Saccharomyces cerevisiae S288C: one gene and its partners. Changing the gene in region 3 together with the main gene of any one other region gives a genetic interaction. Each region holds a gene or a part of one and is shown on either strand. Other genes may lie near its edges. The genes, in order: GET2, DDC1, MRC1 and SML1.

The links.
Region 1: mutations in MRC1 (region 3) and GET2 together harm fitness more than expected from each alone (negative genetic interaction), as found in Saccharomyces cerevisiae (6 studies listed by BioGRID, with this or other methods).
Region 2: mutations in MRC1 (region 3) and DDC1 together harm fitness more than expected from each alone (negative genetic interaction), as found in Saccharomyces cerevisiae (9 studies listed by BioGRID, with this or other methods).
Region 4: of MRC1 (region 3) and SML1, a mutation in one rescues a mutant of the other (synthetic rescue), as found in Saccharomyces cerevisiae (7 studies listed by BioGRID, with this or other methods).

What each region holds. Positions count from the first base shown.
Region 1 is NC_001137.3:321,036-328,699, forward strand, and holds GET2 (GET complex subunit GET2), read right to left. Parts: upstream 5,997-7,664; coding exon 5,139-5,996; downstream 1-5,138. Other genes in the region: AIM9 (Aim9p), read left to right, coding at 1-811; phosphoglycerate dehydrogenase SER3, read left to right, coding at 1,651-3,060; UTP7 (Utp7p), read right to left, coding at 3,237-4,901; YER084W (uncharacterized protein), read left to right, coding at 6,030-6,416; YER085C (uncharacterized protein), read right to left, coding at 6,584-7,105; threonine ammonia-lyase ILV1, read left to right, coding at 7,442-7,664. UniProt on the Saccharomyces cerevisiae protein: Required for the post-translational delivery of tail-anchored (TA) proteins to the endoplasmic reticulum.
Region 2 is NC_001148.4:176,063-182,614, reverse strand, and holds DDC1 (Ddc1p), read right to left. Parts: upstream 3,339-6,552; coding exon 1,500-3,338; downstream 1-1,499. Other genes in the region: RSA1 (Rsa1p), read right to left, coding at 67-1,212; APL5 (Apl5p), read right to left, coding at 3,594-6,392. UniProt on the Saccharomyces cerevisiae protein: Component of the checkpoint clamp complex involved in the surveillance mechanism that allows the DNA repair pathways to act to restore the integrity of the DNA prior to DNA synthesis or separation of the replicated chromosomes.
Region 3 is NC_001135.5:15,592-23,831, reverse strand, and holds MRC1 (chromatin-modulating protein MRC1), read left to right. Parts: upstream 1-1,725; coding exon 1,726-5,016; downstream 5,017-8,240. Other genes in the region: ADF1 (Adf1p), read right to left, coding at 1-248; FYV5 (Fyv5p), read left to right, coding at 1-309; ribosome biosynthesis protein KRR1, read left to right, coding at 453-1,403; VAC17 (Vac17p), read right to left, coding at 5,271-6,542; L-serine/L-threonine ammonia-lyase CHA1, read left to right, coding at 6,952-8,034. UniProt on the Saccharomyces cerevisiae protein: Required for normal DNA replication. Phosphorylated in response to DNA replication stress. Phosphorylation allows it to mediate the activation of RAD53.
Region 4 is NC_001145.3:153,242-160,197, forward strand, and holds SML1 (ribonucleotide reductase inhibiting protein SML1), read left to right. Parts: upstream 1-6,141; coding exon 6,142-6,456; downstream 6,457-6,956. Other genes in the region: NTE1 (lysophospholipase), read right to left, coding at 1-5,017; HUG1 (Hug1p), read left to right, coding at 5,519-5,725; CMP2 (calcineurin catalytic subunit A), read left to right, coding at 6,939-6,956. UniProt on the Saccharomyces cerevisiae protein: Strong inhibitor of ribonucleotide reductase (RNR1) and is involved in regulating dNTP production.

The DNA of each region.
Region 1 (7,664 bases), on a different chromosome or scaffold from region 3:
TAGAATAGCCATGAAAGAGGCAGGAAGTTCAGCTGAATTGATGTATCCTCGAACTTTGAAGGAGCAAATAACTACCTATGAAAATTTAGCTAAGATTGCCCCGGATTTATTCAACGTCAAAACAAAGGCCATTCCAAATATGCAGGAACTATTGTCACCACGTTTGTTTCATCCTGATCTAGACCCCATGAATATTATTGTTAACAAAGAAGCACAAGAAGCCTATCTATTAGATTTTGAAGGAGCATGCACAAAACCTTTCATTTTACAGAATTCGCCACAATTCATCGCCTATGATGGGCCCAAGATTTATGACTTAAAGGAGGACATAACCGATTTTGACAAATTATCTGAGGCGGAAAAGGTGCAATATCAGTTCATGTACAAGCGCACCCGTAATCAACATCAATGGGAGAAAAAATTAAATGACAATAATCCTAAATTAATTACTGCAGTTGCCCCACCTGTTAAGCTACTGAGAAGCCCATATATTGCAGCTGTCGAAAGAAAAACGGAAGAAGAGTATTTACTTATTGATGAATCACTATTGCAATTGAAGGAAGTTTGGGACATCTTTGCCCAGAATGAGTTAGTGAATCAGAAAAAGTTTCCTCTAAACTATAGTAAAGAAGATATTGAAAGACATGTTGAGGATTTGCAAAAATTACACGAAAAGCTAATCTCTACACCATTTGCTGCCACTCAAGGGTGGATTCCTCAAGATATGTTTGATCAACTATTAAATTCCGGCAGTATTGTTAAGCAAGAGAACGGAGACTACACCGTGAAGCAACCTGAAGCTACCAAATAATCTATACTAAAAATGAAATATTTTTTTGTTTTCTTTACCTCATTCAACTGTATAGAACGTTATAACAAAATAATCAAGTTAAAACCCTTTTTTGTACACAATGGAATCTCTTCCATTTACTAATCAACTTAACAATGCTGGATTGGATATATTGATAACGTTTTAAAAAGCGTTGCGTGATGTTTGGGTGCAATTGGCGGAAAAGCGGAACTTTCAAATTTACGATAGGTGGAGATACATCTCCACCTTTCTCCCCATTATCTTTGAATTTTCCTCAAATATATAAAGAGAACAACAAATCCATAGAAATGCCATTGTTTAATCCTGATTATCTACATTGTTTTAGTTTTTTACTCACAATCGAGTAATGCCTTTGTTTGGCCAAGCTATGTGCAAATATCACAAATTAAAAATTTGGTTAAGCAGTTAGGCTGGACCTAATATTTTAGAAAAACCTAATTTTTTTTGTGGACCCATTTTCGATATTTACTCACAAATGGAATTCAAGGGGAACAACTTCGGTCTCAGCACTTTAATTATTCTTCTCGTTCCCACCTAATTTCGCAATTTATTGTCCTTGACTTCTACCACGAGAAAAAAATTAAGAAAATGCAACGCTGCCCGTGCAGGGTTTTCTGAGCGGGATGAAAAAATCAGACAAATATCCAAGTTATGAGTAATTACTTTGTTGGAAGGAGGGAGCAGAGGATAAGGAAATTCTTAAAACTGTTATGTATATAAAGGAAGAACCATTTCTAGTTATTTCACTTTTTGATACTTGTCAACTATCTTAGTAAAAATACAGAACTCTATAAAGAACCACAGAAAAATCGACAGCAATGACAAGCATTGACATTAACAACTTACAAAATACCTTTCAACAAGCTATGAATATGAGCGGCTCCCCAGGCGCTGTTTGTACTTCACCTACGCAATCTTTCATGAATACCGTTCCACAGCGCTTGAATGCTGTAAAGCACCCAAAAATTTTGAAGCCTTTCTCAACGGGTGATATGAAGATTTTACTATTAGAAAACGTTAATCAAACTGCTATTACAATCTTCGAAGAGCAAGGTTACCAAGTCGAATTCTATAAATCTTCATTGCCCGAGGAAGAGTTGATCGAAAAGATCAAGGACGTTCATGCTATTGGTATCAGATCAAAGACTAGATTAACTTCAAATGTCTTACAACATGCGAAGAATCTGGTTTGTATTGGTTGTTTCTGTATCGGTACCAACCAAGTTGACTTAGACTACGCTACCAGCAGAGGTATTGCTGTTTTCAACTCGCCTTTCTCCAACTCAAGATCAGTAGCAGAATTGGTCATCGCTGAAATCATTAGTTTAGCAAGACAACTAGGTGATAGATCTATCGAATTACATACCGGTACATGGAATAAGGTTGCTGCTAGATGTTGGGAGGTAAGAGGAAAAACTCTTGGTATTATTGGGTACGGTCACATTGGTTCCCAATTATCAGTTCTTGCAGAAGCTATGGGTTTGCATGTGTTGTACTACGATATTGTAACTATCATGGCCTTGGGTACTGCCAGACAAGTTTCTACATTAGATGAATTGTTGAATAAATCTGATTTTGTGACACTACATGTACCAGCTACTCCTGAAACTGAAAAAATGTTATCTGCCCCACAATTTGCTGCTATGAAGGATGGCGCTTATGTTATTAATGCTTCAAGAGGTACTGTCGTGGACATTCCATCTTTGATCCAAGCCGTGAAAGCCAACAAAATTGCAGGTGCTGCTTTGGATGTTTATCCACATGAACCAGCTAAGAACGGTGAAGGTTCATTTAACGATGAGCTAAATAGCTGGACTTCTGAATTAGTTTCATTACCAAATATCATCTTGACACCACACATTGGTGGCTCTACCGAAGAAGCCCAAAGCTCAATCGGTATTGAAGTGGCTACCGCATTGTCCAAATACATCAATGAAGGTAACTCTGTCGGTTCAGTCAACTTCCCAGAAGTGGCATTGAAATCATTGTCTTACGACCAAGAGAACACTGTGCGTGTGTTATACATTCACCAAAATGTACCAGGTGTTTTGAAGACCGTCAATGATATTTTATCGAACCATAACATCGAAAAGCAATTTTCCGATTCAAATGGTGAAATTGCTTATTTAATGGCTGATATCTCTTCTGTTGACCAAAGCGATATTAAAGATATTTATGAACAACTAAATCAAACCTCTGCTAAGATCTCAATTAGATTGCTATATTAATATGCAATCGATTCTCATACTGTCAACTTTTTGAACATGATTAAAAGTTTCCTATAAAATATTAAAAAGAACCAAAAAAAAAATGGATAGAAGAATGCTTGAGGCAATAATAATGATTATCTATTTTATATATACATACATAATCATTTAAGTTTTTTTTTTAAAGATATTTCGATTTAGCCGAATCTGCTCAATGCCTCTTCGATGACATCCTTGTGGTCTTCTGAAATTAGGCCTTGTTTGATTTGGTGGTTTCTTTTACGAATATTTTTCTCCTTATCCAGTTGTTTCTGTACTCTTAATTTTCTTTCATCAATAACGTTTTGAGTCTTTTTACGCAAAAAGGAACGCAAACCCGAATTCTTACCTTTCACATCAGGTTTTACATCTGGAATGTCGCTGTTGGTTTTGGCTTTATTATTAGCATCCATTGTAGTTTGCGCCAAATCCTTAGCGTTTAACCTTATGGTAGAAGACCTTTTATCCACTGAACCGATGGAATTCGGATCTAAAGTAATTGTATCTGCTGGCAGTTTGTTCAATAGGGTTCTGACTTCCTGTTCCTGTCTTTGTTTTTTGGTTTCGAATGGGTTTAATTCTAAGGCATCGTAATTGGCTTCACCTGCACCAGGTACAATCAAATTCGTAATACCCGTTTGATGGCCTACACCTAGTAAATCTTCAAATGGTACGAATCCCAAATTTTCTACTTTGTTTCCGGCAAACAAATGTGACATGTAAGGGGTGTTTCTATGTGGGTTCCCTCCCATGGACCCGAAGCACGGTTTACTGTCTCCACTTAATTTTAAAGCGTCCTTCCACAACGTAACGTGAGGGCCCCTAGATAATGCCAATAGACCAGTATCTGAAATGGAAACGTTTGTTCCTGGCGTCGGTAAGCTTTCCACAGAATGTAGTTGCTTGAAGTTTCTGATATCCCAAATTTTCATCGACCTATCAGCCCCTGTGGTTGCCATGTAATACCCGCTTCTATCGATAGCAATGCTGTTCACTGGTCCTCTGGCAGAAAGTAATTTTACTAATGGTTCAGGCATGGATGGTGACCAGAGGGATACTGTACCGTTTGAATGACCTAGATGCATCACAGCATTCCATGGGTTTTGTGCCATTGCCATAGTTGGCCCAGCTTTGGTCCTCAATTCCGAGACCAACTGGCCAGTGGAAACATCGTGGTACTTCAACCAACCTGTCTCACCGGCAGTTACGAGCAGGTAATGATATGGTAGAAAATCTAAATGTCTTGCCTCAATATGTTGTTTCAAACGATGTAATTCTGTACCTTCGTGATCATAAATAAATGTATATTTTTTTTGCGCTACAGCAAAGTATTGTTCGTTTTGCAAATATGTCGCTGAGTGACAGGTTTCATTCAAAAACAGCTCAGCACGAAGTTGTCCCTTTCTCCAGTCCATAGATGCTACGTGACCTTTGCGGCCAGTAATCAAAAGATGCGTACCGTTTTTTGCATATTTTATATGATAAGGGCCGAATTCCTTCAAAGATAAATCCAAAGCTTTGTTTGCAGTACTGACATCCACACTCGATTTGATTTCCGATTGTTGCACTTTGAAAGTCTTTTCTAGCTCATTCTCAGGTTCCAAATAACCATTGGACTCGGGTAAAAGGTAATCTGTTGCCGCAGCAGAAGATACCGCCTTTTTATATTGCTCGTCTATTTTTTTCAAGCCTGCTCTTAGTTTTTTATCCTTTGTTTGAGTATGATTATTTTTAGCATTATTAGTATATGTGGAACGTTCAAATTTATTCTGGTTTTCTCTTTCTTTTATCTGGCGTCTGTGACCGTTCTTCTTGTGACCCATTGTGTCGTTGGAATCTGGTTCAGTTTCTTAAAGCTAGGATACTGAGTTTTTAATGCTATATATGGATTTTTTTTTACTATTGAACTCCAATTCAGTTCTATACATCGATTTTTCACGAACTCATCGCTTAGAAAATTTTCTTACCGTTTTTCTTTTTTTTTCAATTACCTGAAAAGAAAGCCGGGAATAATGTCGGGTTATGAGAACAATGTATTATATTACTGAACTATCTAGAATTTATAAGTACGTCAATAAGCCTAAGACAATTAGCACAAACGAAATGTCAGTGATTAGCATGGACAATAGATCCCAGTATTGCAAAAGGGTAATTAGCTTCCCCTTCAGGTTGGCGACGGGAATTACTCCCTCGGGCACCAGTGAAACTAACTTGACAAGTTTATTGGTATCTTGTAAATTTTTAATCTTGCTCTTGTGTTCCACATTCTTCAATAGCTGGTAGTAGATGGATATGGAAAGGAACTCAAACGTGGCAAAAATTCTAGTGAAATTCGATGGGTTCCGCAAAGGTGCAAACCAAGCTGATTGAGTAAATGCATAGGCCGGCCACACAGAGGAATTTGGTCTTGTGATTAGGTATAGATAGGGTAGTAGGAAAAAGACCCACTTCACAAGAATGGTCCAGGCTTTCAGTCTGTTCAGCAAGTAATCATGGTAGTCCAAAGCAGCTTGATTGATCGGGGCTGCAGGAGCCGCTTGACCAAACGATGGTGTACCCTCTGCACTGGGCATGCCAGTGTTCATAGAACTTAGTAGTGAGAGTAGATCGGGCGTAGAGGAGTCCTGAGGGGTACTTTTACCCGTACCTTGGCCTTGCATGGCAGCGAGCTGTTTCAATAGGTCCAATTGGGGCGCTACGTTGCTATCTTCTTTGATATCTGGAGTAGCCGAATGCACACTCGCAGGTGGTGTGGTCTTTGCAGCGCTAGGAGCGTCTAAAGGTGATTCTGCGTTCAAATGACTGCTTGCCTGCCCGGTGATTTTATTAAGCCTGGAGCTGGCACCTCCATTGCTAAACTTCTTCTGTCTCCTTTCCCTTAGTAACCTGCGCTTTTCCGCCTCTGTTAATTCAGACATATTTCCTAGAGCTACGTTGCTGATGCTACAAACATGGAAGAGCTCATTTGTACATATCCATATCATTCAAATCTTTTCATGTTCCTATTCTTGTTCTTTTGTCCCAGCAAACGCGCACGGCGGGGTCACCCCAAATTTTTATTTACCTTATGTTATAAGAGCAACCATCTCATCCCCAAACTTCTCCCTCCCTCCCTTTTCACAAAGAGAGTAATGCTCAACCCAAGTAGCCATCCGCCTTCCCCGGATTTTCCCACAGGATCTTCTGCAAGTCCTAGGGTCAAACTGAGACCATCCACGTTGTGGGCACCACCACTCACAGTATCCTCTGACTTTGCGGCTTCCAGTAGTTCTACTGCCCCTGTCACCGTCACAGATAAACCTGTCACACCCGCTGTATCAAAGCGGTATCAACCTTAACTCAGATTTTCAAGAAACAGAATAGCACATTCTCTAACATCAAGTTATCATACCAATATATAACACAAATTATGCATAAATAGATAAGTAATATGTCCCTCTGCCCCTGCCTTTCCCTTTCCAGATGCTGGCATCGAAAGTAAGGCATGTATTTGTATGTAAGTTTTTTAATTAATAGTCTTCTTCTTTCTTATCAGTCGTGCTCTTCTTTCCAAATTAATAGGTTTGAATCTTATCGGAATCACCTGGAATTCGTTCTCATTACATGGCCGCCCACCATGCACCTTTACATTTCGTATTTCTTTCCTCTCTGCGCTATATCTTTGGGAAAGATTTGCAATCAAGGCAAACACCCGCTTGTCCCCTTTCAATTCTTGTGTTATTTCAAAAACCATCCTTTCATAATATATTTGTATTTCTTTCGCCCTGGACTCTACCAGTTCATATTTAGAACCTTCCACATATCGTCCAATTCTGCAGCCCACATCTTTTTCCACCACGATACGGGAAACAGAATGGGTCCTTGGATTCTCGCTAAACAGTCTCTCTATTCCCCTGTTCAAAACCCTCAAGATATTTGTTTCCCGCAACAGCTGCAATTGCAATTGATCAATCCTATGCGAAAATGCCGAGTTTATGTTATTCAAGACGCATTTTAAAAAATTCACTAGCGGCTCCTTGAAATTCATTATGTCTGATGAATATGAAAACCTTTTCCTGACTACCAAGACTCTTTAACTCTTCTCTCTTTATTGCATATTATCTCTGCTATTTTGTGACGTTCAATTTTAATTGACGCGAAAAAGAAAAAATAAGAAGGGCAAAAAGAAAAAGCGCAGCGGGTAGCAAATTTGGAATCGCATAAAAAGAAAAAAAAAATATCAAAGAAAAAGAGTCATCTCAAACATATGTCTGCAGATACTTCATTATCAGCTTTGAAAACTTTTGTTGTTGCTGCTTTGAGTTCTTTCTTGTGTGAGTGCTACAAGCCACATTTAAACTAAGTCAATTACACAAAGTTAGTGATGTCAGCTACTCTACTAAAGCAACCATTATGTACGGTTGTTCGGCAAGGTAAACAGTCCAAAGTGTCTGGATTGAACCTTTTGAGACTAAAGGCTCATTTGCACAGACAACACCTGTCACCTTCCTTGATAAAACTACACTCTGAATTGAAATTGGATGAGCTGCAAACTGATAACACCCCTGATTACGTCCGTTTAGTTTTAAGGTCCTCTGTATACGATG
Region 2 (6,552 bases), on a different chromosome or scaffold from region 3:
CTGACTTATTTTTTTTTACGCACCTTTGCATGTACTCTTCCATGTATATCAATATTTGCTATTCTATTACTTATTTCTAGTAAAGTTGGCTCTACTCAGATTAGGTTTCCTGTTTTTGTAATTTGGTTTGTAATGATTTTTATTATTATCTTCAGAGCTCCCAAAAAGTACATCTTTTTCTTGTTGAGATAGCTCATATTCAAGTAATCCTACATCTCCCAATTCTCTTATAAAGTCCAAAAGTTGGGAGTTTTCGTTTGCGAATTCTCGCTGTATCAATTTCAAGTTCAAGTCAATCTTCGGATTTCCTCTCTGCACTTGATTTTGAATACTCTGTATAAATTGCTTTTCTTTCCTTGACTCTTTGAAAATGCTAGGTTGGCTCTTCAGTTCATCTTCCTTTATGCCCATTTCTTGCATATGTTTCTGTTTGTTATTGGATATTTTCAGTAGCCACATTTTTTTTCTTTCTTCTCTCCACTTTTTAACATCTTCATCAGTAATCAATGCTATGGAGGTTCCAGGAACCAAAACCACCTTACCCAACCCCTCTGATTCTAACTGCTCATCACGATCATCATCTTCTAGCCCTAAGTTATTATGATCATCTTCGGCATTAGAATTTGCCAGCTCGGGATCCTTTCTTGGGATTTCTGTAGGCTCCGCAGATGCTTGATCCTTGCTTGATGGTACTGGACTTATTTCATTCATAAACGTATCTTTCCCTCTGTTTTTCTCAATCAATTGTATTTCCTTTACGGTCGGTATTGCAACATCTTCATAACTAATTGATGTTTGGTAATCTTTATCATTCTTTAAGGCTTGAGTGTTTTCACAATATGATGATGGCCACTTCTGTAAATTAAGCGCTGGTGCATAAGATATATTCTGATGAACTGGCGGTATGTAATTTTCTGTATAATTGGGAGGACTCGTATAATTGTACTGAGTGGACGGTTGTATTGGATGGAAATATTGATTATGAGGGGCTACATGATGAAGTTGAGGAGTATAACCGGTATTCCATGAACCTTCATAATACGGAGAGTTCGGATACATATGAGGTGAGTAAGCTGCATTAAAAGCAGAGTCTGTTTTTTGCCTTTTAATTTTCGATTCATCATAGCCATCTGATAGCGTTCCGGAGTATGTAGGTTTGGGAAGCCTAGAATGTCCATCACCCTTCGAATTTTCAAAGTTATTATAATTCATAGTCCATGTCGCAATAAGCTAATCAAAATGGAAAAAGAGATTGACTTATGAGTTAAATATAATAGCATCAATGAAATTTTTAAGTTCCTATTAAGTAAAAAGCTATGCAATATAGAGATATTATGCTATTGAAAATTTTAGTTTGTTCCCCGACCGTGATGGACCATCAGCCGCACGCTCACCAAATTGAGACAGAAAAAAAAAAAAAAACAGCGATCGATATTATCATGATAATTGCTACTTCATCTAATATTTACACGCCTTTATACTGATTTTGCATTATGGTTTTAGTCAAATATACCCCTTGGCTTTTCTACTTGTGTTAGACCCAGCCCATCTTCCATCTCTTTATTGTCCTGTTTCTTGTGATTACTTGTGTCATTCTGGGAATTCAACAGACCTTGCATATGCTTCAATTTTTCTTTCTTGAGCATTCCTTTTCTATCGATATTGCTGCATGAAACCTCATCATCTGCAGCTGGTAACGCTTTTCCCCATGTCACAGTGGTGTCTGCCCTTTTTGCAAATGTAGATTGTTGGGTGGGGTCTTCAGTTTCATTACAAATATCTGCTATGGATCTTTTTAAAGAATTGCTCTCATTACGTGGACAGGCCACTTCATGAGTCGTACCAATGTCAAAACTTTGTTCCCGATTCATGTTCATATGAACTGAACTAGCCTGCCGGAACCGCTTATCTTGTTCGTAATTCGTACTTTGGCTTTGTTCTTCCACGAATAATTTTCTTGCCGTGTTATTTCTATAGGTCTTAGCAACTGTGCTTCCATTATCAGGGGTCAGATACGACACTTTCAAAGGACTGTTTCGAGTTCCAGCCACAGAGTGTGGCAGGTTTTCTCTCTTTAAAGCAGTTTTGCTTTTTAATGGACTTTCGCAGCTTTCTTTGTTGTCTTTCAGTCCGGCCTCTTCTTTGGAGCCAGAGATTGCTGTTTTTATGAATTTTCCTTCTAAAATATCATCGTTAATGTTACTGTCAGTAACTTCAACCAATTCTAATTTTACGCCCGGTTTTTGCATTTGCATAAGAATAGGGTCCCCTGGGTGGCAAAACCATAAACTTATATTATCATTTCCGTCCTGGGTAGTCTTCCAGGATGGACCTATCGTTATGAAGTTTTTGAAGTCCTTCAATTTGAATATTATACTTTTCATATGCTCTCTACGCTTACTATGTGATCGCTTATCTTGTTTTTCATCTTCGATTGTTGTAAATAAGCAATAATGCTCAAGATCGAGCGTACTGATAGTGTTACTCATGCTTAACGCATTTCTTAAAAGGTCGTTATTTTTGCCGTAGACGGCCTTGGTGAATGCAGTTATGCTTAGCCTATGTACGTTAATTTCCAATTTTACTTCATCGGTTACATTAACATTGCAGTTGTCTAAAAAATTCTTCAATAAAGTTGAATTACAACAAATGTAATTAATCTCATCAGCAGCCGTTAACTGATTCCTTTTACGTATGTCTGATTCCACTTCTTCGTTAAATAAGGCTGATGTTAGCTCACGCTCTGTATTTGTAAAAACGTCCAATAGCTTAGGGTCCAAGGGCTCCTGTGGATTCCGATCGGAGGCAGCAGTTCCAAAAACATCCAAAAACCTCCTTTTGTACTTAAGGTTGATTATTATGGGATCGTATTTTATTGGCTGGAATTGGGGACAGTATTCTTTGACTATTAACGAATCCATTTCAATCACCACAATCAATCTATTTGCAAGTGATTCAGGACAGGTAGAAGTGTTGTTTACCGCAATTGTGAATGATTTGATGCCATCACCATCCGGCTTTCTTGATATAGTTGTTAGGTGTCTTCCATTAACACGGAAGGAGTATAACTTATGACTATTGCCGTACGTATCTTCTATAACTTGAACCCCATTTTCTCCAAATACAATCTCATGTGGTTTAAACTCATACTCCTCAAAAAAGCTTTTCTGAAACCTAACCTGACAAAGAGTAGTATCTGTCTCGTTCATTGACCAAGCAATTAACTCATTTGTTGTCACTGTAATCTTGATATCATCCTGAATTGTAGATAACACATATATCGCACGAAACCAGATATTCTGCTTCCCCGACTCGGTGATAGTTGCCTTAAATGACATATATGTCTAAGCAAAGTTATGCTGTGTTATTGTTACACTAGCAATAGTATGTCAAATAATTTTGCAAATCATCTCTGGTCTATGATTACCTTTGGCGGCCTTTGATTCATTCGCGTCATTATTAAATATGCCGTCTCTTTCGGCAAATTGAGTGCACCGCAATAATATACTATGCAGAATAAAATACTTAAATTAATTATAGTTTACGTACGTAATCGCTGTCATTGAGAATTCACGACTTCGATTTTTTTATCGTTAAATGTCAGTGCTTTGGTCTCGAAGAAATTCATTTGGTTCTGGAGAATTTTTTGCTTTCGTTTTTAGTTTGTTTTTTGACTTTGACTTTTTCCCTTTCTTCTTCTTTTTTATAACTATAACTTCTTCAGTATCACTTAAATTATCCTTTTCATCTTTTACAATAAGATTGGCCTCTAAACGACTTAATTCTAACTCGTCTTCCTTTCTAAGGTTGCCCTCTTCCTGCGATCCTCTTCCTGCGTTACTCGATTGCCCAAAATTGGAAAAATCAAAATTTTCAAGTTGAGAGTGCATTCTCAGATTAATCTTGTCCTTTTTCAAAGGATTTTGAGTTGAATGATTATCATGGGGTTTCTGGAATGCATCTTTCCTTTTGGGAGCGGCTTCGATAACAGGTTCATCGGATAAGACTTGAACCCTATTTTTCTTCTTTCCCTTCTTCTTCTTTCTGCTGATTTCAGTTGTAGATAAACTTAGAGAATTCAACGAATTATCGGTTCTATTTAATCTAATAGTTTCTGGCTTTTTATCACTACTTTCCTCCTCATTCAAGTCCAACAAATCTTTAGAGTTCTTAGTTCTTTCTTCGTCTTCTTCACCTAGATAATAAGGATTTGACATCCGTTCCTTTTCTCTCTCAATCTCAAATGGATTTTCAAAATCATCCAATTTTTCCTTTTCTTCATACGAAGTATCAGAATCATCAACGAATTTTAGTTCAACTTGCTCGTCCATTGAGATATCAGACATTAAATCACTGATGGCGTCACTTTTTTGTTCATCTAAGAGTTCATCAGCTGCCTCCTTTGTCAAAAATGGAGTTTCTAGATCAAGATTCTCATCTACTGCTAACTTCAATTGAGTCCCACGCGCAATTGGTGCGAGTTCATAGGCGTTAAAAAAACTAGGCAGGACTTCGCTCAGTAGCATTGGTAGACCTTCCGTATCCTCCTCTAAAGCCTCCAAACTTAGTCTTAAAAATTCTAAAACTTCTACGCTTCTTTCCTGGACTTCGAATGTACTCGAATAAGATAAATTTTCAAAAAATTCAATTAGCTCTTTTAACACCATTTTAATTTCAAAGCGTTTATCCTCCTGAAAGTTATTACACCAATTACTAAATACTTTAACAAGTGCTAAAATTAAAACTTCTTGTACACTATGAGAATAATAACTGATATTCTCAGTCATGATTTTTATTAAGTCGTTACCATTTTCAACTAGGGTAGAAAATTCTCCGAGACACCAAATGCATTCTCTCAATACGGTAGGCAACTGTTTGTTAATATTGTCATTTGAAATAAGCTTTATAATATTAGCAATGGTTACTTCTCTCATTGAAGGAACTTTTATCATCAAATTCCTAAACTGTTCACCAATTTTTGATCCAAGGCTTTTATCAGATATGTCTTGACAGAGCATCGCCAAGTCCATTATTACTGCATTGTACCATTCAAAGTCGTTAACACTGGAATAGTTGTCAGCTGAACAAATCGATATAATGACGTTCACCATTTTTATCTTGTAATTTTCTGGAATTATTATGGGAATTCTCTTTGATTTTTCGTATACGATGCTTCCAGTTTGTAGGATAACCACATCTTCATCTACAAATTGCTTCATCAATGTTTGGACAATTGCCTTTAAGTTATCCTCATCAACAATACCTTCAACCAATTCAATTGCTTTTGATCTTATAGAAACGTCGACATCGGAGAGTAAGCGTATAATCAGTTGGTCGAACCGAGAAATAAAATCAGTATTGATTTTGCCGATCTTGTAAAACAATATGCAGCTAATATATCTCAAATTTGGATCCTGAGAATCACAAAATGTGTGCAATCTTTCCAGGCATGCCATTGCTGTTTCAAAATCATCTTCTTCTAGCATATTCCCCTTGACAATACAGTTGACAGATTCATAGATCACAGAAGTTGCAACAGTACTCTCCATCAGTTCTAAAATTTTCGGCAATAACTTGGCTCTCAATTTCGGTTCCACTTGTGATAAGTTGGTGAATAACTTCAATAATCTAATGATTATCCAGTTATTGTCAATGGTAACTAATATCTCGTATAATAAAGGTGAAAGCTGGATGAATGGTTGGGGGTTTTTTTTTGATAGCTCGCAAATAACACTGACAGCGGCAGAAACCACAGATATATCATCATCGTCTAGCTTTGAAACAAACTTATCAAAATTATCTCTCAAAGCCTCTGGATATTGCAGAAAAACTTTAAATAGTGCGGTAATGGCCTTCTTTCTTATGTACGGTCTTGTGCTGTTTAGCATAGTGAACAAATCATCAGCTATATCTCTTGCTAATGAGGGTGTAATTATAGTGGAAAGACCACTTAAAGCAATGCCAACTTTAACAACATCATTGTTTCCGTCATACTTTAAGTCTTTTTTCAACAAGTTAGTTGCAAGCATCAAAATGTCAGAATCTTTGTAAAAAGATTGTGATGCAGCCAAATACCCCACACGTTTTTGTTGAAGTTTATTACTGCTCATAACCTCTAAGATATGAAAGTTGCACCAAGCCATGTCAAAACCGTACATCTCTAAATAGGTCAATTTAAGAACGGCATTGGTCTTAGAATTTAGATCTGGAGAGTTCACTTCTTCCCGGCATTCACTTAATACTTGTTTAAAGAATTGATCCAGTTTTTCTGGTGTTTCGTTGTGAGACCTAATACCCTTAATCAAATCCTTTAGTGATTTCTCAAAGAAAAACCCAAAAGGACGTAACCTTTGCCGAATATCCTCCGCCCCAGGTGCATATAAAGAGGTCATGACAATATGTTATGCTCTTCTGGTTGTGGCAACTGCCTTTCCCACTTCAGGTATGTTCGTATCTTCATTTTCTTTTTTTTTTCACATTGGGAGATTGCAAGGTTGTTTTTCCCAGCCTGCATACAATGATTTAATGAAGAAAATGAAAAAGAGCATTTCA
Region 3 (8,240 bases):
TCCTTTTCCTGGTCCTTGATCAGCTCCTCGGCTTTCAAAGTAGTCTCAGCTTTCAGTTTAGCTGGCTCTTGTGTACTTGCCTCCCGCAGCAGCGTCGGTATCATTGTTTCACTACTTTTGTTTAACTTTTCCACTTGTAACTTTGTTCTCTTCCTTTCAGCGGTGCTGATCGACCTCTTTTTTTGTACTTTCTTGCCAACACCAACATTCTTGCCCACACCTTTCTTTTTCATGCTACACTTGCCCATTTTTTCCTTGCTAAATGCCCTTGAGTTATTGTACCTTATTATAGCAGGCTTGCACATCTGAAAACGAAAATTTTTTTTTCCTTATATTTCTAATTCTTTTAGCGATGAGATATGAAAATTTTCAAAAAAAAGAGATGATGAGGTTAACTATTGTAAAGTAGACAGCAAACAAAAGGGTCACACAAATATCCAAATTGGCAAACGATGGTGTCTACACATAACAGAGATAAACCTTGGGATACGGATGATATTGATAAATGGAAGATAGAGGAGTTTAAGGAAGAGGATAACGCATCCGGTCAACCTTTTGCTGAAGAGTCCAGTTTTATGACTTTGTTTCCTAAATACAGAGAAAGTTACTTGAAGACGATTTGGAATGATGTAACAAGGGCTCTAGACAAACACAACATAGCGTGTGTTCTAGATTTAGTCGAAGGTTCTATGACAGTAAAAACAACTAGAAAAACATACGATCCCGCTATCATTTTGAAAGCCAGAGATTTGATCAAATTATTGGCGAGATCCGTTCCTTTCCCGCAAGCCGTTAAGATCCTACAAGATGACATGGCATGCGACGTTATTAAAATTGGTAATTTCGTTACTAACAAAGAAAGGTTTGTCAAGAGAAGACAACGTCTTGTAGGCCCTAACGGTAATACTTTAAAGGCTTTGGAACTTCTAACTAAATGTTACATTCTAGTACAAGGTAACACAGTAAGTGCCATGGGTCCCTTCAAGGGCTTGAAGGAGGTCCGTCGAGTAGTAGAAGATTGTATGAAAAATATTCACCCTATCTATCATATCAAGGAATTAATGATAAAAAGAGAATTGGCAAAAAGGCCAGAGTTAGCCAATGAAGATTGGTCAAGATTCTTGCCCATGTTTAAGAAGAGGAATGTGGCCAGAAAGAAACCCAAGAAGATCAGAAACGTCGAAAAGAAGGTCTATACTCCATTTCCTCCTGCCCAATTGCCTAGAAAGGTTGATTTGGAAATTGAAAGTGGTGAGTATTTCTTAAGCAAGAGAGAAAAGCAAATGAAGAAATTAAATGAGCAAAAGGAAAAGCAAATGGAAAGAGAAATCGAAAGGCAGGAAGAGAGAGCAAAAGATTTCATAGCTCCGGAAGAAGAAGCATACAAGCCAAACCAAAATTAGTTTACACCGCTACGGAATCCTTCATATATGTCTATATATATATAGAAACACACACACATTTCGTTTACTTAGATATGTTTGTAAAGTGAAAGAAATTCTTACTAGGACACCAACTCTACTGGCTCTCATATGCAGAGAGATATACATCAATACTTGAAATTTTCCTTATCCTTCTTCGACGCGTCATGAAGAGATAGAATGCGTAAAACGCGTTTGCTTCAATAGCATTTCAAACACATTATGTTGGAAAAAAACCAAGAACAGACAAACAACTAAGGAAGTTCGTTATTCGCTTTTGAACTTATCACCAAATATTTTAGTGATGGATGATGCCTTGCATGCTTTGTCCTCGTTGACTGCAAAGAAGAGAACTACCACCTACAAAAAAGTTGCTGTTCCCATACTAGATGAGAACGATAATACTAATGGAAATGGGCCCAATGACATAGACAATCCGCCAGAGTTGACTGGGAACGGGTTTTTATTTGCCAATGCCACATTAAATCGTGTTAAGAACAGATTAGAAGGCAAGAAAGCACCCGAACAGAATCACAATAATGGAAAAGATAGGAGTGAGAATTCGTTACCAACTCAATTAATCTCTAATCTTTACGATGGTGGTGAAGAGCTGGAGAAATCCGAAGTTAAAGATAATAGTTACAGTGAGAAAAATGTCTCTTCTTCATTCACGCAGACGCAAAGAATACCTGTCAGCATCCAACAAGACAAGGTGTTTAACGTACCTATCCATTCCGTTAATGACGGGAAACCCACCCAATTAATCAAAGAAGATGGTCTCGTCAACGAAACTTCTCAAGCGCTGAAAACACCTCTCACGACAGGACGGCCAGGGGCTACACAGCGTATAGATAGCAGCGGTGCAACCTCACAAACTCAGCCTATAAAATCAATTGAACCACAATCCCAAATAATTACGACTTCCAGCAATCATTCTAATGCTCTGTCGCCGAAAATTCCTATAATTCCAACGGAACTTATTGGAACTAGTCCTTTATTTCAGTCCATTCAAAATCGTGGTCCTGACACCCAAATGGATGTACCACCACAGACTGCGCATGATGAGGATAAGACACAAGCAATTGGTATTCCACAGGCTACGCATCAGGAACAGAAAACCCAAATAGATACAGTCGCACAAACACTTCAAGATGAAGTACCACACACATTAAAAATTCGGGAAATACAAAGCGAATTGGCTTCAGAAGATTCTAAAAGGGAAAAAGCTAGAAATGTCGAATACAAAAAACCGCAAAAGCCAATACCAACCAAAAAATTTTTTTCTAAAGAGTCTTTTCTTGCTGATTTTGACGATTCGTCCTCAAATGAGGACGATGATATAAAGCTGGAAAATGCACATCCAAAACCAGTACAGAATGACGATGAACTGCATGAGAACAAAAGTGTTGAATTAAATCTAACTGATGAGACAAGAATAAATGAGAAAAGGGTTCCACTATTGAGCTCCTATGCTAATAATTTGAAACGGGAAATTGACTCCTCGAAATGCATAACACTGGACCTCGACAGCGACAGTGACGAATATGGAGATGATGATATGGATAGCATTAAATTATCCAAAGATGAAAGCGTTTTGCCAATCTCTCAGTTATCAAAGGCGACTATATTAAACCTGAAGGCAAGACTCTCTAAACAAAATCAAAAGTTGTCTCAAAGGCCGAATAAAAGTAAAGACCCAAAAGTTGATCATAATGTACTATTAAATACCTTAAGGAAAGCTAGCAGGAAACAAATTCTGGATCATCAGAAAGAAGTGATTGAAACGAAAGGTCTGAAGCTGGAGGATATGGCCAAAGAAAAGGAAATAGTAGAGAACTTGCTAGAACAAGAAATTCTTAGAAATAAAAGAATCAGACAAAAAGAGAAGAGAAGGGAAAAACTTGAAGAAAATGACTTTCAATTGAACGCCCATGATTCCGGTTCTGACTCAGGGTCAGAGTCTTCTGGATTTGCATTGAGTGGTAATGAAATTGCCGATTATGAATCATCTGGTAGTGAAAATGACAATCGTAGAGAATCCGATAGTGAAAAGGAAGATGATGAAATTATTCTAAAGCAAAAAAAATCCCACCACGTGAAACATATCATTAACGAATCAGACTCTGATACCGAAGTCGAAGCCAAACCCAAAGAGAAAGCTGATGAAAGTCTACCGAAAAGGATCGCCATTAATCTGGGCCATTACGGTGATAATATCGGAGAGGATACCGACAAATTTCAAGAAACCAATGTTCTAGATACACAAAACATTGAAGAGGTGATGGCCGAAAGAAATACAATCGAAAATGAAGTCAAAGATGATGTATACGTCAATGAAGAAGCTGATGAAGCAATTCGCCGTCAGCTGATTGACAAAGAGAAATTGCAACTAAAACAGAAAGAAAAGGAGCACGAGGCTAAGATAAAAGAGTTGAAGAAAAGAGGTGTCACAAACTTCTTTGAAATGGAAGCCGAAGAATCCGAGGATGAATGGCATGGTATCGGTGGTGCAGATGGAGAAGGATCTGACGACTATGATTCTGACCTAGAAAAAATGATCGATGATTATTCCAAGAACAATTTCAATCCTCATGAAATCAGAGAAATGCTTGCCGCAGAAAATAAGGAAATGGATATCAAAATGATAAACAAAATTCTTTATGACATTAAAAATGGAGGATTTCGTAATAAAAGAGCAAAAAATAGCTTAGAGCTAGAACTAAGTGATGATGATGAAGACGACGTACTACAACAATATCGTCTCAAAAGGAGAGAATTGATGAGAAAAAGGAGATTAGAAATTGGCGATGATGCAAAGCTTGTTAAAAACCCAAAGTCGAGCGCATTTTTTGAAAGTATGGTGGAAGATATTATCGAATATAAAAACCCCTTCGGGGCTGAAGAGGAATATAACCTAGACATTACAAGTACGGCTACTGACCTAGATACTCAGGACAATAGCATTAATGTAGGTGATAATACGGGAAATAATGAACAGAAACCTGTAGATCAAAAGAACAAAAAGGTTATCATATCTGAAGACTTTGTGCAGAAAAGCTTATCCTTCCTAAAAAGTAATAATTATGAGGATTTTGAAACGGATAAGGAGCTATCAAGGATACAACATGGCAATGATGAAGCAATTGAAGATTTATATACCCTAAAACAGAATAGTTCGATAAAGTCATTCACAAATTCTCAAACTGATTCGACCACTTCAAAAACAGTAAACACAATAATTGACTTAGAAAAGCGCCCAGAGGATGAAGATGAGGTGGAAAATGGAGATACATCACTAGTTGGCGTTTTCAAACATCCATCAATAATCAAATCCTTTGCGTCCAGAACAGACATAAATGATAAGTTTAAAGAAGGTAACAAGACAGTCAAGATTCTAAAGTCTTACAAGACAGTGGGGAGTTCAAAAGCTTCTATCACATATATGGGGAAAACGAGAAAATTAATAGCACCAAAGAGGAAAACTGAAGGGAGCCACCGCTACCACCATGACCATCATAATAAAAAAATGAAAATGAAAACGAAAACAAAATCGAATAAACTTTTTGAAAGCGGACAAGATAGCTTTGATAATTAGTGGTTTTTTATCTTTTCCGAAGAAGTTGATTGAACTCCAGAAGCTGTCTTGAAGTAGTCGCATTAAAAAAGATGGCACCCGAGTCTAGGCCAAGCCATAGTCATGTTATGATAGGATTTTATAAGACAAATATTATAAAGAAGTTTAATAATAATACAAAAAGATACAAAAAAACTTGAAGATATTCTGAATAAAAAAAAAAAGAATAAACATTTGGAGCAAAAGAAGAGTAGGTTAGGTAAAGGAGGCATTAATTAAAACAGCAGTTCTGTATTCAAAGCATCTTGCAATTCTTCTATAGAGACGCTTATATCCATATTATTTTTTTGTTCCTGTGCTACATTATGATTTGATATTCGTTCTTCATTCATGCCCTTATTCTTTCTCCCCCTCTTACTTTGAAAAGATTCTGATATTGTGCTTAACGATGAATTAAACTTATCCATAAAAGATGCATGCTTAAGATTTGTGTTGTTCTCTTTTACCGTATGTGTATCTGATCGTGCAATGAATGATGATAACAACGCCTTAGAACTTGAAATACGAGGACCATTACGACTAGGAGCCATTGTCGCTGCAACAGTTGGATGACAGTTCACTTGGACATTTGATATCGAAGTTCCAAACGTCGGATTAGATGGCCTGAAGAATGAGGCGGAGAAACTTCCCAGATTGAGCGACTTAGAAGGTGCTGGTTTGTTAGATAGTATACTTTCGTGAGAGTTATATCTCCTTAAAGGTTCGAATTCAGCACCCTTTGCGGTCACACCAACATGTGGAGGGGTACTTATGTTTGGTAGAATGATAGTATCTTGATCAGAATCAAAATCTTCATCATCCATTTCATCAAAGAAGGTCAACGAAAGTCTTTGTCTATTTTTGAAGAAAGACTCATACGTATCCGAGGAAGACGGTTTCTTACTTTTGTTCAAGCCAGTATCATGTGATTTGGCTGCACGTAAAGTGCGATTTCTTGCAGGTTGTTTTTTAGGTGAGCACGGTAAAGAGTTAGTTTTCGAAGGACAATCGACTTCATTGATGGGGTTAAAGCCTACCGATTTTTTTGGTGGTTTCGATGGAGTTACCATACACAGACGTTGCCTCTCAATTATTTTCAATGGTCGAGGTTGAAATGACCCTAAACTACTTCTGGTGGATTGCGATTGTGGAGAATCATTAGGCGCTTCATTTGGGACGGTGGCCAGCTCGTTCAACCTCAAAGTGATATCCTGGAATTCACGAACCAAGTCTTCTATGCGTTGATGCTCATTATCCTCTGTGATCAATCTGCGTTGTTGTTCCTTGCTCAACTTGTCTCGAACAGATTCCGATCTAACATACAAAGAGTTCAGTTGAGACATATACTGGTTGTACTGTTGGGATAACTTATCCAATGACTCTTGATCTGTTGTCTGGCATATTGATGATCTCTGCTGACGTTGTATCCACAGATCTAATTGCAAGATAGCCTCTTGCGACCTTATTAAAAGCCTCTCCGTGATATCCTCTAGGGCTTGGGTTGCCATTAATCGATGTGTCCTTGTTTCCTTATGCGAGCTGTTTCTTATCTATCTTATGGTCCCATTCTTTACTGCACTGTTTACATTTTGATCAATTGCGAAATGTTCCTACTATTTTTCTTTTTCTCTTTTCGCGAGTACTAATCACCGCGAACGGAAACTAATGAGTCCTCTGCGCGGAGACATGATTCCGCATGGGCGGCTCCTGTTAAGCCCCAGCGGAAATGTAATTCCACTGAGTGTCATTAAATAGTGCCAAAGCTTTATCAAATTGTTTGCGATGAGATAAGATAAAAGGGACAATATGAGGAGGAACACAGGTATATAAATATCGCCAAATAAAAGGAAAATGTTTATACAGTTTTCTCTTTTTTAAGTGCTGGATAGACAAGAGACAGGAAAATTAACCAGCGAGATGTCGATAGTCTACAATAAAACACCATTATTACGTCAATTCTTCCCCGGAAAGGCTTCTGCACAATTTTTCTTGAAATATGAATGCCTTCAACCAAGTGGCTCCTTCAAAAGTAGAGGAATCGGTAATCTCATCATGAAAAGTGCCATTCGAATTCAAAAGGACGGTAAAAGATCTCCTCAGGTTTTCGCTAGTTCTGGCGGTAATGCCGGTTTTGCTGCTGCAACAGCATGTCAAAGACTGTCTCTACCATGTACAGTCGTGGTTCCTACAGCGACAAAGAAGAGAATGGTAGATAAAATCAGGAACACCGGTGCCCAGGTTATCGTGAGTGGTGCCTACTGGAAAGAAGCAGATACTTTTTTAAAAACAAATGTCATGAATAAAATAGACTCTCAGGTCATTGAGCCCATTTATGTTCATCCCTTCGATAATCCGGATATTTGGGAAGGACATTCATCTATGATAGATGAAATAGTACAAGATTTGAAATCGCAACATATTTCCGTGAATAAGGTTAAAGGCATAGTATGCAGCGTTGGTGGAGGTGGTTTATACAATGGTATTATTCAAGGTTTGGAAAGGTATGGTTTAGCTGATAGGATCCCTATTGTGGGGGTGGAAACGAATGGATGTCATGTTTTCAATACTTCTTTGAAAATAGGCCAACCAGTTCAATTCAAGAAGATAACAAGTATTGCTACTTCTCTAGGAACGGCCGTGATCTCTAATCAAACTTTCGAATACGCTCGCAAATACAACACCAGATCCGTTGTAATAGAGGACAAAGATGTTATTGAAACCTGTCTTAAATATACACATCAATTCAATATGGTGATTGAACCGGCATGTGGCGCCGCATTGCATTTGGGTTACAACACTAAGATCCTAGAAAATGCACTGGGCTCAAAATTAGCTGCGGATGACATTGTGATAATTATTGCTTGTGGCGGCTCCTCTAATACTATAAAGGACTTGGAAGAAGCGTTGGATAGCATGAGAAAAAAAGACACTCCTGTAATAGAAGTCGCTGACAATTTCATATTTCCAGAAAAAAATATTGTGAATTTAAAAAGTGCTTGAAAATCCAATAACTTTTTCGTTGAAGCATCAATTTGCCCTTGATAATTTTCATACATGTACTACATACATTTTACTCATATATCACTATTTTGCTAGTATTGATTTTTTCCAGAAGTATTAGTGTAAGATTTCTCGAAGTAAGCATCAACATATCCAAAACGTTGACATATTTCTAGGCCGGCAATGCACAGAATTTGTATAAAGGG
Region 4 (6,956 bases), on a different chromosome or scaffold from region 3:
ATAAAAACTCAGGAACTTGAGAATTCAAAGTGGTTTCTTGTGAACCAGGTATATATGGCATCTTGTCGTCGTCAATAAGCCCTTGCAAAAAGATACGACCATAGTCTACACCCACATGATAAATTTCTTCGAACTTGCTAAAGTCTAATGTGGCATATTCTTCAATAGGTGGTCTCACATAAACGACACCTGGTGTATTTTTCGCTTTCTCTAAAGCATTTACTGATGCGACGTAACCCAATCTAACTTGAATCTCTGCCATATTGGGTATGTTTGGATGAGAAGAAAATGGATTCCATCTATTGAAAATGATCCAAAACCCATTTAGGGAGTCACCATATTCCATAGGCGTTCTATCATCTGCAGAACCTACATCTACTGCAAATATAGTTTGGCAACCACGCGCTCTCATCTCAGTTACTGGTAAATTATCAACATAACCACCATCCAGTAACATAGACCCGTTCTCTTCCAAAGGAGGTAAAAGACCAGCAAGAGACATCGAAGCTCTGATGTACCTCCACGCATAACCAAAGGAATGTATTTCTTGAACCGAATCGGTTATATTAGTAGAATTACAATAATACTGGATCCAGAAGTCTTCAATTCTTGTATCCCCGAAAGTTTTCCAAATACCTCTATTAAATTCGTGACCAGTAGTATAAGAAGTAACCGGCCAGGTTAAATCTGTTAACATTCTCCATATAGAGGAAATTCGACCAGCAAACTTCTTCACGCGGCCGTAAATTGGCACCAAATCATAATCCTTCGCGTACAAACCGCCAACAAAGGAACCAATCGATGTTCCTCCAATAACGTCGACCGGAATACCTTGTTCTTCAATAGCTTGAATGACACCCAAATGACTAATACCTCTCGCACCTCCTCCTCCGAGGACAAGTCCAATAGCTTGTCCAGAAAGAATTCTAGCCAATCTTAGAAAATCATTTTTATGCCTATGAACTGGTGTGTAATATTGTCTTTTACTTTTCATGAATCTTGAAGAAAAGTTTTCTACGGTGTTCTTGATAGAATCTGGAAGTAGTTTTGATATATTCTGTTGAGTTTTTCTACTGAATTCTGTTTGAATCAACTTATCCATTAATGCCAAGGCACCATTATTCAAAACGTGCATTTTGCCTTCGTTCATCAAGGTTGTTCCTGTCAAACTAAATTGAATGTGATGATGCGAATGAACCCATGGCCTATAGCGTAACCACTTATGGGTTAGTCCTGGTTCCACATACCTTTCAGGGTGTAGAAGAATTAACTCGGTCCTTGCGGTAGTCTTTGAATTTAGTAATAACTTTTCATATTCTCCTATTTCGGCTGATGGAGATCTAGCATCTGCTAGTAAGAGAATACAATCACCTTGCGCAATACAGGTTCTTGTCCAATTAGATTTAACTGGTGTATCTGATATATAAACAACAGTCTGGTACATTTCTTCTAGTTCAGCAAAGTAACCACTTTGTTTTAATTTGGACAATCTGTCAAATGCATGACGACCTAAATGTGTTAGGGTAGTTCTTTGATTTAAACCAATCGTGGTCCTTCCTACCTGTTTGAAAGCTTGCACTAACTTCATAGCAAATGCTTCTACAGGTAGTCCACTGGTAATTGGTAAGATAGTGATGGTTCTAAAAGTAATTGTGCCAGAAGTAATATTTTGGGGTTTATGACTTAAAGAGCTAGAGTAAGACGCTTTCGTTGGAGGTATTAAAGAAGTGAAGTCGTTTTCCTTTATAGATAATGGATCGCCTGTTAATGCTGGAACAGTTCTATCTCCGACAATTTTTTTAGCAACTAATCTGGAAACTCTAATCATGATAGATGGATGTTCAAGAGCTAATAGTTCGAATAATGTTCTCGGAATTCTCGCTAATTCAGAATCCCTCACTGCCACTATCGTTGAATATCTATTCATAGCGGTAAGCACTTCAACTTCACCAAAACTCTCCCCCTGGGCCAGTTCTCCTAGAATAATGTTCTGAGTTTCAACTTCTTCGGAACTTGTATTGGAGTTTGACAATGACTGCTGTTGTAGCTGCCTTAGTCTACCATTCAGGACAACATAAATACCGTTAGCCGAGTCACCTTGTGAAAATAGAGTTTCAGAAGCCCTCAAGTGAACCCATTCTAAAGCATGGTCGAGCTTTAATAACCTTGAAGATAGCAATTTGGTTAATGAATCAGAAATCCGTAAGTAGATTAGGAAATATTTATCAAACAATCTTTCTAAGGTTGCACTAGATAAAAATCCAACATAGACATCGCTCTTGGCAACGATATTAACAAATGATTTGTAACCAATTAGAGAGGACAAGTAGCCCACAATACCACCAGATCCTACAGAGTATAACAAATGTTGAGTATGATGAGGATTTTCACCCTTGTGTGAACTTTGGGCTGAAACCTGCTCTGGTTTAGACATTGATGATACTACTGACGAGGACGAATTTGTTGTCACATTAACTTTCCCGGAAATGATATAGAATAGGCCTTTACCACGAGCGTTCTGCTCAACAATTGTGGTGCCCTTTTTAAAGAACTTCAACTGAATGCCTTGTGCAAAGTCTTTCTTGACATCTTCGAAATCCAAATTGGGTGTCAACTCCTCTTTGTAAGCTCTAGGTTTTTTTTTGTCCTGGCTTTTACTTTTATTATGCCTTTTATTGCTGATAGTGTATTCTTTGGGTAGGATTCTTAACATTGTCGGTTGAGTTTGAGGAGAGGCAAATGATGAAGCTACGGAAATGTCAGATGGTGTACAGTGAGGGGACATCAGAAAACTTGCGTTACTTGGACGGCGGCTATACATTTCATTAAGTTGAGGAGAGTTTAAAGAAGACATATTTGCTATCGAAGAAGATGAAACGGACATATTGCTTTTGTTTACACCCAAGTATGTTAACATTGCCTCAACTAAAGCCATTCTTAAAGCAGAGTCCTCGGTTTCTTCCTGGGCAGCAGAAAAGGATGTTGTGGGCAGTAAATTAGGTCTTGGAGAGACCCGTCCCTTCAAATGAACGGGACTTGGGTGGATATGGTCATGAACAGAAGTATTATCCAAGGACAAGGGCGATGTACTAAGTTGTGCGTTGCGCAATTCTGGGGACAAAGAAGAAAACTTCTTAGAGTGTACGGAAGCATTGTTACTGCTACTCCTAGAAGATCGCTTATGTTGGTTAGAGGTAGAAGTGTTAATACCGTTTGATTTATTGCGGTTGTTATTATGGATTGGGTTGGGTGACAGAATATCCATAGTTCTAGACAGTGGGACATTTGACAGTAAATCACCAGGATTAAATTGGTCTCTTGAACCCAGTACGACATGTCTCGAACTTGGATGGTGGGTGAATTCTGGTTTCAGTGAAAGGGAATTCGAACTTGTGTTAGCGTTGGCGTTAGCAATCTTAAGCGATTGAATGATACCATCAGATGGCTTCGCTTTGGGCGGTTTCTTCAATTTAGAGGAAGCATTACTATTTTTGGGTTTCGGTTCTAAATCAGCCGATCCGCTCGACTTATCTACAGTTTTAAACTTACGAATAACGGCCTCTTTCAAATAATAAGGCAATTCATAAACGATGGATTTATTTAGTAAAACTTCGATATCCATGATCTCCTTTGTTAAACCTAAGTAGTCGTGAGCAGTTTGGAACGTAACATGGTATAGCTTGGTGAGAACCATCTGTATGATATGGGAAGCAGACCGTGGGTATTTTGCGGTTAATTTGGCAAACGATTGAGGTGGGATAATACCAATTGTGCAGTCTGTAGCCGCACGGGCGACAAGTTTAGGCATTGAAGAGGGGAACGTTGGAAAGCTGTTGGTGGAGTTTGTCATGGAATCTGTGTTGGAGAAGTTCTGCTCTGATGAGCAGAACATATTGTTGACCGACACCGTTGTGTCTATAGGTGACGATAACTCAGAGGGAAAGTTACTGTTGCCATACGAGGACATGGAATGCGTGAATAAGTTTAAAATGCTCACGAGGGAGGTCAGCGGGTTTCCTGGCTTGACTGTATTTAGCAGTTGAAAATTTCCCAGTCCATTTTTCAGATGAATGTAACCAACGGATTCATCTTCTTCATCGATGAGGTTAGAAGAACAAGATTTGGTGTCGTAGTTATCAATGTCATCATCTTCTTCTTCGTCTTCTTCATCTCTATCCTGGTCGTCAAGACCATCCGTGTCACTGTGGTCAGTTTCATCGCCATGGTCCTTATCTGAATGATCTACTTCATGATATAACTGCAGGGTGCCTTCAACGACGATGGCAAACCCAATAGTACTGTCCAACAGTAAAATCTCACCCTCATCCATTTTTTGAGTTTTCATATTCTTGGTCAGGTCATGGAAGACTGGTTTTTCCAGATAGCCAAAGATTTTGATGGCGCTGAGAAATTGGTCAAGGTAAGATGAAAGAAAGGTTTCGTTTTCGTTGCCATCTTTCAATGAATGCTTTTTTGAGTCTATAATCGAGCTTGCACCCGTGGTAGAGGAACCTATGGCGGGTGGCGCGTTGGCTGACTGAGTGGAAGCTGCATTGATATTGGCGCTGGAGCCAGATTTACCTGTATTTTCCAGCGGCAAGAACTCCGGGGTCAGCCTCTTGTACTGGGATAGAATTCTCTCCTTCATGATGGTGTAAGTCACAAAGACTATGACGGCTAGGGCAAACAGGATCAGCCAAAAGGAAAGAGTGAACTGAACATGGTGTAACTTGAAGAAGATCCACTTCGGAATCCTTAAAAGCGATAAAGTTGCCAGATACCAACCGTACCTGAAGATCATACGAGAGGCACCCATAACAAAGTAGGACACAACCCACGAGAAGTTGAAGAGGGATGAAAGTGACCACGTCTGCGCCTCAGAAATAATCTGGTCGGTGAGACATGTCTGGAATCTATAAGAAGTATAATTACTGGAATTAAAGCTGGAGCCAAGACTGTTTTTCGTGTTTTGGCCGGTATTGTTGGTGTTGTTCGTAGTGCAATTCATTGAACGCATGCAAAAACTAGAGCCAAGCCTTTCTATTCTTTTCTTGTTTATTTTATATTCGTTAGAGTTTTGTGGTGTTTCTTTAACTTAATAAACTTTCGAGAAAAGTGTCAAGTTTCCCAGATTTTTAAGATCCTTATAACCTGTAAAAAAAAAAAAAAAAAAAAAAAAGAAGGGTTTAAATAAAAATCGGACTTACTCAAAGGGTTGAAAAGCACTTTAATATAGGTTTTTAGTTTCGGGTAAGAAGATGTGTCAAAGGTCTCGAAAAGGAAACATTAGGGCAAATACGTAAAGGTTGCCTTCGTATCTCGTTTCCACAGCAACGAGAAACGAGATACGAAGGCAACTGATTCCCAGCATATAAAAGGCCATGAATTTTTGGCGTTTCCTATTGTCTTTTCGAAACTATTTCTTTCATTCCTTTCCTTTCTTGTTCTTTTACTTATAAGAAAAATAATATACGTATATATATAACTACAAACCACATCAGCAATAAAAAAAAACTATATGACCATGGACCAAGGCCTTAACCCAAAGCAATTCTTCCTTGACGATGTCGTCCTACAAGACACTTTGTGCTCAATGAGCAACCGTGTCAACAAGAGTGTCAAGACCGGCTACTTATTCCCCAAGGATCACGTTCCTTCTGCCAACATCATTGCCGTCGAACGTCGCGGCGGTCTTTCTGACATTGGTAAGAATACTTCCAACTAAGAGCATGCTTCTCTTTTTTTTTGTAGGCCAATGATAGGAAAGAACAATAGATTATAAATACGTCAGAATATAGTAGATATGTTTTTATGTTTAGACCTCGTACATAGGAATAATTGACGTTTTTTTTTGGCCAACATTTGAAATTTTTTTTTGTTACCTCGCGCTGAGCCCAAACGGGCTCCACTACCCGCCGCGGTCGCCATTTTGGGAAGTCATCCGTCCCAAAAAGGAAATAGCCATAACATATCGTTACTGTTTTGGAACATCGCCCGTTTCGCCCGATTCCGCCTCAGCGGGTATAAAAAGAGATCTTTTTTTTTCCTGGCTGTCCCTTCCCATTTTTAAATGTCTTATCTGCTCCTTTGTGATCTTACGGTCTCACTAACCTCTCTTCAACTGCTCAATAATTTCCCGCTATGCAAAATTCCCAAGACTACTTTTACGCTCAAAATCGCTGCCAACAACAACAAGCCCCTTCCACATTGCGTACCGTGACCATGGCGGAATTTAGAAGGGTGCCTTTGCCACCTATGGCTGAGGTTCCTATGTTGTCTACTCAAAACTCCATGGGCAGCTCCGCTTCTGCCTCCGCTTCTTCATTAGAAATGTGGGAAAAGGATTTGGAGGAGAGACTCAACTCTATCGATCATGACATGAACAACAACAAATTTGGTTCTGGCGAACTAAAATCTATGTTCAACCAGGGTAAGGTCGAGGAAATGGACTTCTAAAGTTCCTTTCATACTCTTTTCTTTTCTCTTTCCATTTCCCACTAGTTCTGTTCTTTTCTTCTCTTAGATACCCTTCTTTTCAGGGACTCTCGTCCTACTATTGTTGTCATTCTCGAAACATTCTCTCCCGTGCATTTTCCTTTCCCTTTATATACATATATATATATATATATATATATGTCTCTTCTACGTATTTTTGTATTTCTGTGTCTTTATCAAAGATAGTCTATAATACGTTTGATACAGCTAGATATCGCTAGCGCCAACATTGTCCCCCTCTCTTGATCAATGCTTTTTTTCGGCCCGAGACAAATGAGAAAATGTCCTAAAAATACCTTTCATCAAGACTCCTATTTTTCCTTAGAAAAAACATATATCCAACTGGAACAGTATTAAGCCAATTGCTACGATACAAACAAAAGGAGATATTCCTTCCCTCCCATAGAGTCACACAGGAGCCAGTACTTCTTCTTGAACCCGCAATGTCTTCAGACGCTATA